Oryctolagus cuniculus: one gene and its partners. The protein of the gene in region 3 interacts with the protein of the main gene of each other region in a biochemical or structural test. Links are inferred from orthologs where the notes say so. Each region holds a gene or a part of one and is shown on either strand. Other genes may lie near its edges.

Region 1 (2,682 bases), on a different chromosome or scaffold from region 3:
TGACTGGTAGCAGATAAGTGTTGCGCTCGGGCTGGATAAGGGCTCAGAGTTGCACTGAGTGTGGCTGAAGCGGCGAGGCGGGAGTGGAGGTGCGCGGATTGAGGGAGACAGACACACAGACACAGTCCGCCCGCCCCGCCAGGACGCCCGTAGAGTGCGATCCGCACGGCTGCGTTGCTTTGCCAACTGCCCCGCGCTAGCGCCTGTGGATCCCGGGCTGGTGTTTGGGGGGAGCACCTGGAGAGCTGCTGCTTCTCCAGCCGCCCCCGGGGAGGAGAGCCCCACCGCACGAGCGCAGCTGACAGCCGCGGAGAGCGGCGACTGCAGCGGCCAAGAACTTTCCGAGCCGGGAGGACCGGGGACAAGTGGCCCGGAGTCCCGGAGCGAACTTTTGCAAACCTTTCCTGCGCTATTTGGGCTTGCCGCGGCGGCAGCAAAGAAAAGCAAGGCGGCGGAGAGAGGAGCGAAGAGGAGCGACGCGCGCGCGGCTCCGCTCGCCCCGGCCTCTGAACTTGACCGGCGCGAGCCGCTGCCGCCGGGAGCCCCCTGCCCCTCGCAGCGGAAGAGGGCACAGTCTCCGGGAGTCCGGGCGGCCGAGACCCGCCGCCACTGCGGGGCACCGCGCCGCGCCGCCGGGGAGCCTCCGAAGGGCGCGCAGTGAGTGACCGCGACTTTTCAAAGGCGGGCAGGCGCGCGCGAGCGGCCGAGGAGTGCGGGCGAGCGTCTGAACCCCGCCGCTCCCGGGAGCGGGGGCCGGTGAGCGGGGCGCCCAGGGGGAAGACAGCCCGCGGGTGCGCGCGCGCTCCGAAACTTTTCCTTTGCCAGAGGCCCGGGGAGGCGCGGGGTGCTCCCCGCCCGCCAGCGCGCTGTCGCGGCCCCGAAACTTGTGCGCGCAGCCCAAAGTAAGCCCACGTGAAGTGACGGACTGTTCTATGAGTGCAAAGATGGAAACGACCTTCTACGACGATGCCCTCAACGCCTCGTTCCTGCAGACCGAGAGCGGCGCCTACGGCTACAGTAACCCCAAGATCCTGAAACAGAGCATGACCCTGAACCTGGCCGACCCGGTGGGCAGCCTGAAGCCGCACCTCCGCGCCAAGAACTCGGACCTCCTCACCTCTCCCGACGTGGGGCTGCTCAAGCTGGCGTCGCCCGAGCTGGAGCGCCTCATCATCCAGTCCAGCAACGGGCACATCACCACCACGCCGACCCCCACCCAGTTCCTGTGCCCCAAGAACGTGACCGACGAGCAGGAGGGCTTCGCCGAGGGCTTCGTGCGCGCCCTGGCCGAGCTGCACAGCCAGAACACGCTGCCCAGCGTCACGTCCGCGGCGCAGCCGGTCAGCGGGGCGGGCATGGTGGCTCCGGCCGTGGCCTCGGTGGCGGGCGGCGGCGGCGGCAGCGGCGGCTTCAGCGCCGGCCTGCACAGCGAGCCGCCTGTCTACGCCAACCTCAGCAACTTCAACCCGAGCGCGCTGAGCAGCGGCGGCGGGGCGCCCTCCTACGGCGCGGCCGGCCTGGCCTTTCCCGCGCAGCCCCAGCAGCAACAGCCGCCGCCGCCGCCGCAGCCGCCGCACCACCTGCCCCAGCAGATCCCCGTGCAGCACCCGCGGCTGCAGGCGCTCAAGGAGGAGCCGCAGACCGTGCCCGAGATGCCCGGCGAGACGCCGCCCCTGTCCCCCATTGACATGGAGTCCCAGGAGCGGATCAAGGCGGAGAGGAAGCGCATGAGGAACCGCATCGCCGCCTCCAAGTGCCGGAAAAGGAAGCTGGAGAGGATCGCTCGGCTGGAGGAAAAAGTGAAAACCTTGAAAGCGCAGAACTCGGAGCTGGCGTCCACGGCCAACATGCTCAGGGAACAGGTGGCACAGCTGAAACAGAAAGTCATGAACCACGTTAACAGCGGGTGCCAACTCATGCTAACGCAGCAGTTGCAAACGTTCTGAGGACAGACTGTCGAGGGCTGAGGGGCGACGAAGAAAAAGAAAACAAAACCAACAGAGAGACAGTCTTGCGAACTTGACCGGTTGCGACAGCGAGAAAAAAATAAAAAAGACGCGTCCGAGGACTAAGGCCAAGGGTATCCAAGCCGGGCTGGGTTGCGTCCTGACGGCGCCCCCAGTGTGCACGAGTGGGAAGGACTTGGCGCGCGCTCCCCTTGGCGCGGAGCCAGGGAGCGGCCGCCTGCGGGCGGCCCCGCTCGGCGGAAGGGCTGTCCCCGCGCCATCACGACGGTAGACTTTTCTTTAACATTGACCAAGAACTGCATGGACCTAACATTCGATCTCATTCAGTATTAAAGGGGGGGAGGGGCGGGGTGACAAACTGCCATAGAGACTGTAGATCGCTTCTGTAGTACTCCTTAAGAACCCGACCGGGAGGGCTGGGGAGGGGCGGCGGGGGGCGGGGAGGGAGCCGGGGAGGGCCAGGCTGAGCCTGCAGATACACTCTTTCTGGCCTGCCTTCGTTAACCGTGTATGTACAGATATCTATTTTTTAATTTGATGAAAGCTGATTACTGTCAATAAACAGCTTCATGCCTTTGTAAGTTATTTCATGTTTGTTCGTTTGGGTGTCCTGCCCAGTGTTGTTTGTAAATAAGAGATTTGGAGCACTCTGAGTTTACCATTTGTAATAAAGTATATAATTTTTTTATGTTTTGTTTCTGAAAATTCCAGAAAG
Region 2 (3,648 bases), on a different chromosome or scaffold from region 3:
GAGCTGGACAGTGCCCCCCGCCCTGGAGTTGGGCTGCTGGGAAGAATTCCCTCGAGGTTTCCTCAGGTCCAGGAAGAGGGGCGGCCTGTCAGGGATCACCCGGACATCTGGGATGGAGGATGGTCCCCTCCCCCCCCATGCCTCACAGGGAGAAAATGAGACACAGGACAGCAGAGCAGTGGTTCTGGGTTTAATCGAGGATGAAAAGGGTGCTGTGCTGTGGCCCAGAGGACCCCCAACCAGGCACCCCACGTTCGTTCGCATTTTCAACTGAATAGAGGAACAAGGTGTAACTAGAAACAACAGCGCAGGCGCCTGCCCGCCTCCAGGCCCCGGGCAGCTGAGAGGACTAGGCCTCTGGGACCCATCACCCCTCCCCAGGGCCCAGGCGCCTCCCCAGCCCCGCTGCCCTTCAGAATTCCTTGAAGCCAGGCATTGATGGCCCCAACTGCAGGTGGGTGGGTGGGGAGCGGGGACCCCAGAGCTTCCTCCCAGCCATTTAGGGTACAATAAATACTGTGTGGCAGCGGCAGGGGGAGCAGGGGCTGCAGCCCCGCCCGCCCCGCCCGCCGGCCCCAGCCACCCACAGCCCTCACTCTGTGCGCAAGATGATGTGGATGCCGGAATCTGTGAACACAGGCCCGCTCATCTCCCCTGTCCGCAGCGCAAACGAGGCGTCTTCGAATGGCTTCTGCATCTGACCTGGGAATGGGGAGGGCCGGGGAGGGAGGAGAGGTGTCAAGGCCGAGGCGGGCAGGCGGGGACGGCGCAGATGGGGCTCCTGCCTGCGCTGAGCCTCGCGCTCATCTGCGCTCATCCGTCACCCACTTTATGGCCCTGTCACGGTGCAGCGCTGTGGCTCAGCTGGGGGTGGCGGGGCCATTACGGAGGCCCTGGGAAGGCGAGGACAGCATGAGGGATGGCAGGCAGAGCTGCCACGGCCGCACATTTAGAGGCGCATTCTGGTGATGAACTGTCCTCCCAGCGCCTGGCTCCCCGCCCGGCCACAGCATCTGTCCTGCTGGCCTCGCGGGGGCATCAGGGAGCCACAGCCCCTCGTGGCCTTCCCCACTCTCCCACACCCCCACCCCATCCTGGGCCCCCGGCCCCTGCCCTGGCCAGACAGGCCGACTAGGGCTGCCCACCCGAGCTGCTGCCCTCACCCACGGTTTCCCCACCTCTGGGAGTAGAGTGGCAATGCTGGGGGACATGCCCTGGGGCACTGAGGGGCCCAGCCTTACACGAGTGCCCAATGACAGGACACAGCCTGCTTGGTGACCCACGATGTTCTGCAGCCCTTACTCACCCCTCCCTCCCCTCTTCCCCCAGCAGGGAGAGCCTCTGAGGCCCCAGGGAGGGACTGTGCTGCCACCTAGTGGACCCCGAAGGCCTGTGCAGCAGGGACTGCTCCGGGGAGCCAGGCTGGCCCACTCCAGTCTCTACCCACTGAGGGCGGCAGTGGGGGTCAGGGCTGGTGCCCACTCTCGCACCTCTGCTGAAGGCACCCAGGTCTCCCCTGGCCTTGGCCGAGCTGCAGTCGCTGAACTGCGAGGCCAGAGACTCAAAGTCCTCCTCTCCCGACTTGATCTTCTGGATGTAGCCTGTGGACAGGACAGGGGAGGCTCCACGTCAGGAGTGGGGTGAGGCCCTCACTCCTGGAGCAGCTGTGCACACCCTCCCCAGTGCCACCCGCTGTAGTGTGTCCACATACATGCACAACCCTGCAGTACGGACAGCCACGCTGGTCTCCCCAGCCCACGCGTGCGCACACACATCTCAGAGAAAAATCTAAACCAAGCCCAACGGGGTGGAGGAGAGCAAGGCACCGGGAGAGGCTCTGGACTCGGCGGCAGGGGGCTGGGGTCCTCAGAGCAGGGCTGGGGGAGTTTCCTAGAGAGGGTTTGGGGGACAGGCCCAGTTCTACCACGGGAATCCACCGAGGCCCAGCCTGCGGGCCCCAGCTGTCAGATCTGGGGCAAGTGGGAGGGGTGCTGGGAAGAGACCCCCATGTGGCCCGGGTAGGGCTGTGCAAGGCCTTTGCACTGTGGCCCCAGAGCCACACGACTCCTACTCCAGCACTTCCCCAGTGCACAGAGCACGGCGGCACAGACGCGTGACTGGGCACACCCACACACATGCACACTCCCAGTGGAAAGGAGCTGCCAGTTGTCGCCGTGTGCATGTGTGACCACGTGTGACAGGGCGCACACATACACGTGCACACACCCCCAATGGAAAGGAGCTGCCAGTTGTCATTGTGTGCATGTGTAACTGTGTGTGACAGGGCACACACATACACGTGCACACACCCCCAATGGAAAGGAGCTGCCAGTTGTCATTGTGTGCATGTGTGACCACGTGTGACAGGGCACACACATACACGTGCACACACCCCCAATGGAAAGGAGCTGCCAGTTGTCATTGTGTGCATGTGTGACTGCGTGTGACTGGCATACACACACAAACACACACACACACACCCAATGGAAAGGAGCTGCCAGTTGCCGCCGTGTGCATGTGTGACCACGTGTGACTGAGCACACACACACATGCACACACTCCCGATGGAAAGGAGCTGCCAGTTGCCGCTGTGTGTGTTACTGCATGTGACAGTGCACACACACACACACATCCTCCAATGGAAAGGAGCTGCCAGCTGTTGCTGTGTGCATGTGTGAACATGTGTGACTGAGCGCACACACACACACACACACACACTCCCGATGGAAAGGAGCTGCCAGTTGCCGCCGTGTGCATGTGTGACCACGTGTGACTGGGCGCACACACACAATGGAAAGCAGCTGCCAGTCGCCCTCCTGAGTCCAGGCAGCCCTCGAGGTGGGCAGCAGCCTGTGCTTCCCTGCCCTCCACGGGCCCTCCAGCACGCAGGGTGGCCTTGCCGGCCCCTTCCCGGGCTGCACAGCTGCCATCCTGAGCAGCTCCCGAGGCTCGCCGTCCATTCCCAGCTCGGCCAGCAGCCAGTCCCCAGGGGGCTCTGGGGGCCGCACACCTGCCGGCGGGGTTCACAGCACCCTGACACTGCCACCTGTTGCTCCTGTCTGCCCATGGACCTGCCAGGTGTGAACGTCACTGACACGGCTGCCTGGCATGTGCCCGAGCGCTGGCTGATTTAATCGGTGCTGGGTGGCCTGGAAAGCCAGCCTGGGCGTCTGCCTGAGGCTGGGCTGCTGCAGACTTCCTCAGAGTCTGGTCTGACCTACACACCACACGCTACCTGCACACCACCACACTCTACCTCCTGCGACTCTACCTACACACCATCACACTCGACCTACACACCACCACACTCTACCTCCTGCGACTCTACCTACACACCACCACACTCTACCTCCTGCAACTCTACCTACACACCACCACACTCTACCTCCTGCAACTCTACCTACACACCACCACACTCTACCTCCTGCGACTCTACCTGCACACCACCACACTTTACCTGCTGTGACTCTACCTACACACCACCACTCTACCTCCTGCGACTCTACTACACACCATCACACTCGACCTACACACCACCACACTCTACCTCCTGCGACTCTACCTACACACCACCACACTCTACCTCCTACGGCTGTACCTACACACCACACTCTCTACCTACACACCACCACACTCTACCTCCTACGG
Region 3 (3,275 bases):
CGCACTTCCTGGAGTAAGACAGGACTTCCATAGGAAATCCCTTTACTTTTCCTGGTATAAGTCCATGCAAAAAAGGTGAGATACGTCATTTCATCCAAAAAAAAAAAAAAAAAAAACCAGCAGCAAAGAAGAAAGTACCAATTGCAGGTGACGATTCCGTCTGCTGTATTCTGCAAAAGGCCCGTGAAAGAAGAGGGCCCCTTTTTCCAGTTGAAATAGTTTGTGCTCGTGGGCTCACCCGGCGTAGCTGCCAGTGTCATCACCAGGGCCGCCTGCAGTCTCCAAAGGCGCAGAACCACTGTGCGCGGCCTTCGCACCGGCCCGTGGGCCTGCGAGGTTCCCCTTCCGGCATGTTTGCTCCCGGAAGTGTCAGCTTCCAGAAACGCTGGCGGCTGCCTCCTTGGGAAGCCGGGAAACACTTCACCTTGGGACGGTTGTTGGAGGAGCCCTCTCTTAGCTCCCAGTAATGCGTCAACCCAGGGTGTCGTGTCGTGTTTTTCCTAATCCGGAGCAGACATTTAAAAGAGCATACAATAAAGTTGATTTAATTAACACGATGGACTGCATGAACCAGTGCACGCTCTTAAAGGCGGGAGACACAGTCCGGGGCCGCCGCAGCCCACACGCCACCTGCCTCCTGCTGCGTGTGAACACCTGACGTCGTTCGAATCTCTTTGAGACTGATGCGATAATAGAAACCATACATTGCGTTCGCACGGGGCCTCAGCAGATCCTTCCAACTTTTCGAAGTGAGAAAGGACACATTTTAAGAGTTTTGAAAGAGGAGGTGGCGCTTTCGCCACTGTCACGTGTGCAGTGCTGAACACACAGCCATCAGTATGCTCTGAGAGTGGATGGAGCTGCCCAAGCCCCCTGCCCGTCCAGCCTCTCAAGGCACAGGGCCTGCAGGACAGGAGGCTTGGCTGGGAGCCCCGGAGAAGAGGCAGGAAGTCTGCCCGTGGCCAGGCAGGCTTTGCCCCCTACCTAGAACATCCTTCGGAGGTGAACTTGACACAGCGGTCCCAGACAGAGGGGGCACCTCCTGTTGAGCCGGGACATCCCACGTTGCTATCATGAAGAGAAGGAAGCGGCAGGGGAGGGGCAGGTGGTGAAATCCCACCCACTCACTCCAGGCCCCCAGAGCAGACACCATCCTCGTCCTCGAAGCAGGGCCAAAGGGCAGTCGGTGCGTTCAGCAGACGCAGCCCTTCGGAAGTGCTGCTCCTGTGCTCACCTCTGTTTTAGAAAACAGGCTGGTGCCACCGGAGGGAGAAAAAGTCCTTCTTCCTTGACAATAATCAATGGATCAGAGTTCGAATATTCGCGCCCTCCTCACGGTCACTGCCCCAGCGCAGCCCCTCCCCCTCCCCGCCCACACCTCTAGGACACACTGGAACAGCGGATGCTGGGGGAGCCCATCTGGGTGAGGACCTTGTCCAGCCACTGCAAAGGCCCATTCAGGTGCAGCTCGATCCAGCAGGGGGTGCTGGTCACTGTCTGTCTCCTGCAAGAAACAAGGCAGGGTTGCAGGTAGGGGACGTTTAAAAACGTCCAGGAGGAAACACAGGCAAGTCACAACACCCTCCTCTGTGACAGTCTTCCCCCCCAAAGCCAGCTACACCGTAACCTGGCTCCATGCTGCCCTAGAGGAGGTCCCAACCATCCGCTGAAACTAGCAGGGCCAAGGTCCCTGAGCAGATCCCGAGCCGGGGAATGGGGGGAGGGAGGTGGCCCGAAAGAGGTAAATGTGAAGTCAAGGCCAGGGCACCCCCAAGGCCCCGCAGTGGAAGCCCTCCAGGCCAGCTCCTGTGTGTCCCAGGTGGGCACCAGCGGCTCCAGACACAGGCCCGGCCCGGCCCGGCCCGCCGTGGTGATGCGTGTCTGTCTGGCGGAGGGGCGTTCCGAGCAACGCACCGACAGCGCACATGCCTTCCGCTCCCCATGTGCTGATACAATTCCCATCTACGGCCTTATTTTGGAAAATCTTCCGAGCAGAGCGAGCCATGGAACAATTACTGGAAAAAACCGAGGCGCACCCCAAAGCACTCCGTCTCAATTCAGGCTGGCGGATGACGCAGCCCGCAGGCCGGCTCCCCGAGGCTATCTGCTGAGGCCGCGGTGGCCCGTGCCAGCTGGAGGTGAGAGCAGCGGGCCTGGGCCCTGCCCTCGGCCTCCTCGCACAGACAAGGGCTGAAACCCTACTCCCCTTGGCCCGAGACGCAGGAGGGCGGCAAGACTCTTCCGGGAAGGGGCCGCGCCTGCCCGTCGGGCTGCCGTGCGGCACTGCCAGGCGGCGGTGACGCGGTGGGCTGCGAGCACGGCGTGTGCTGGCCCGGCGGCCTGCCGGGGAGGGCGTCTGCCGCCGAGGAGCCCCTTGGGGCACGCAGGGCTGGACGGCCGCAACGCCGCACTGGGCCGGGCACTGCCTGCCTGGCCTGGCCTAAGCACCCCTGCCCGCTGACGGCCCTGCAGGGGTCCACCTGATGGAAGGGACCATGCGTGGCCCCTTGGGCTACAGTCCGGGTGTGAGAAGAGTGAGCAAATGGACTTCCCCTGGCTCTTCTCCACGGAGGGCCGCCTTTAAGTATTTCCCTTTCCCTGTCTTCTCCAAAAAAAAAAAAAAAAAAAAAAACTAACGCTAATCTTCCACTCTTGTTCCCTACCTGGTCCGTGCCAGGGCTAAAAGGTCAGTTTGGGTGCTTCCCGGCTGGCCCGCTGGGCCTGGGCTAATCTCTGCAGCCGTCAGAAGACGGCCGCCAGTTCTGAGGTCTGACCGCCATGCCGGCTCCACGGATCACCGGTGCTGGGTTTCAGCAAGACCCCGGAGACCACGCCACTGCGCTCCCCAGCCCCGCGGGGCAGCCCCGAGCACGGCAGCCCAAACACGAGGAGGACGACCGTGCGGGGCGAAAGCCTCTAATGAGAATCCGACTTTCCATAAGTCACGCTCATCTGGATCTCATTATGAACGGTGGCCCCGCGCCAACACTGAAATGGGTTTGGCCTGGGTGCAGAGTGACTGCAAAACAAAATGGGAGTCCAAACATCTGGAAAAATGAAGGGGAGAGTAACTCGCACGGCGCTGGCTCCAGCTGACGTGCGGGTACCGCAGCGTCTGCCGCAGGCACAGGCCGGGAGGGGGGCGGGAGGGGCCCACGGCCCTGCTGCCCAGGGGCACTCTTGTTCACCTGGGCTCTGCTCTGCAGACCCACGCCACGGTGTTCCGCAAGAGACAACCACGAGGACCAGGCAGGCCTGCCCCTCATCTGTGCCAC

The links.
Region 1: the proteins of SMAD3 (region 3) and JUN form a complex in vitro, tested with the Homo sapiens proteins (3 studies listed by BioGRID). The link is inferred for Oryctolagus cuniculus from reciprocal best matches to the Homo sapiens genes SMAD3 and JUN.
Region 2: the proteins of SMAD3 (region 3) and PIN1 form a complex in vitro, tested with the Homo sapiens proteins (2 studies listed by BioGRID, with this or other methods). The link is inferred for Oryctolagus cuniculus from reciprocal best matches to the Homo sapiens genes SMAD3 and PIN1.

The regions. Positions count from the first base shown.
Region 1 is NC_091438.1:114,259,074-114,261,755, forward strand, and holds JUN (transcription factor Jun), read left to right. Parts: upstream 1-932; coding exon 933-1,946; 3' UTR 1,947-2,047; downstream 2,048-2,682. UniProt on the Homo sapiens protein: Transcription factor that recognizes and binds to the AP-1 consensus motif 5'-TGA[GC]TCA-3'.
Region 2 is NC_091447.1:67,370,484-67,374,131, forward strand, and holds the end of PIN1 (peptidyl-prolyl cis-trans isomerase NIMA-interacting 1), read right to left. Parts: intron 1,602-3,648; coding exon 1,491-1,601; intron 703-1,490; coding exon 593-702; 3' UTR 178-592; downstream 1-177. UniProt on the Homo sapiens protein: Peptidyl-prolyl cis/trans isomerase (PPIase) that binds to and isomerizes specific phosphorylated Ser/Thr-Pro (pSer/Thr-Pro) motifs.
Region 3 is NC_091443.1:89,967,296-89,970,570, reverse strand, and holds part of SMAD3 (mothers against decapentaplegic homolog 3), read right to left. Parts: intron 1,505-3,275; coding exon 1,381-1,504; 3' UTR 1-1,380. UniProt on the Homo sapiens protein: Receptor-regulated SMAD (R-SMAD) that is an intracellular signal transducer and transcriptional modulator activated by TGF-beta (transforming growth factor) and activin type 1 receptor kinases.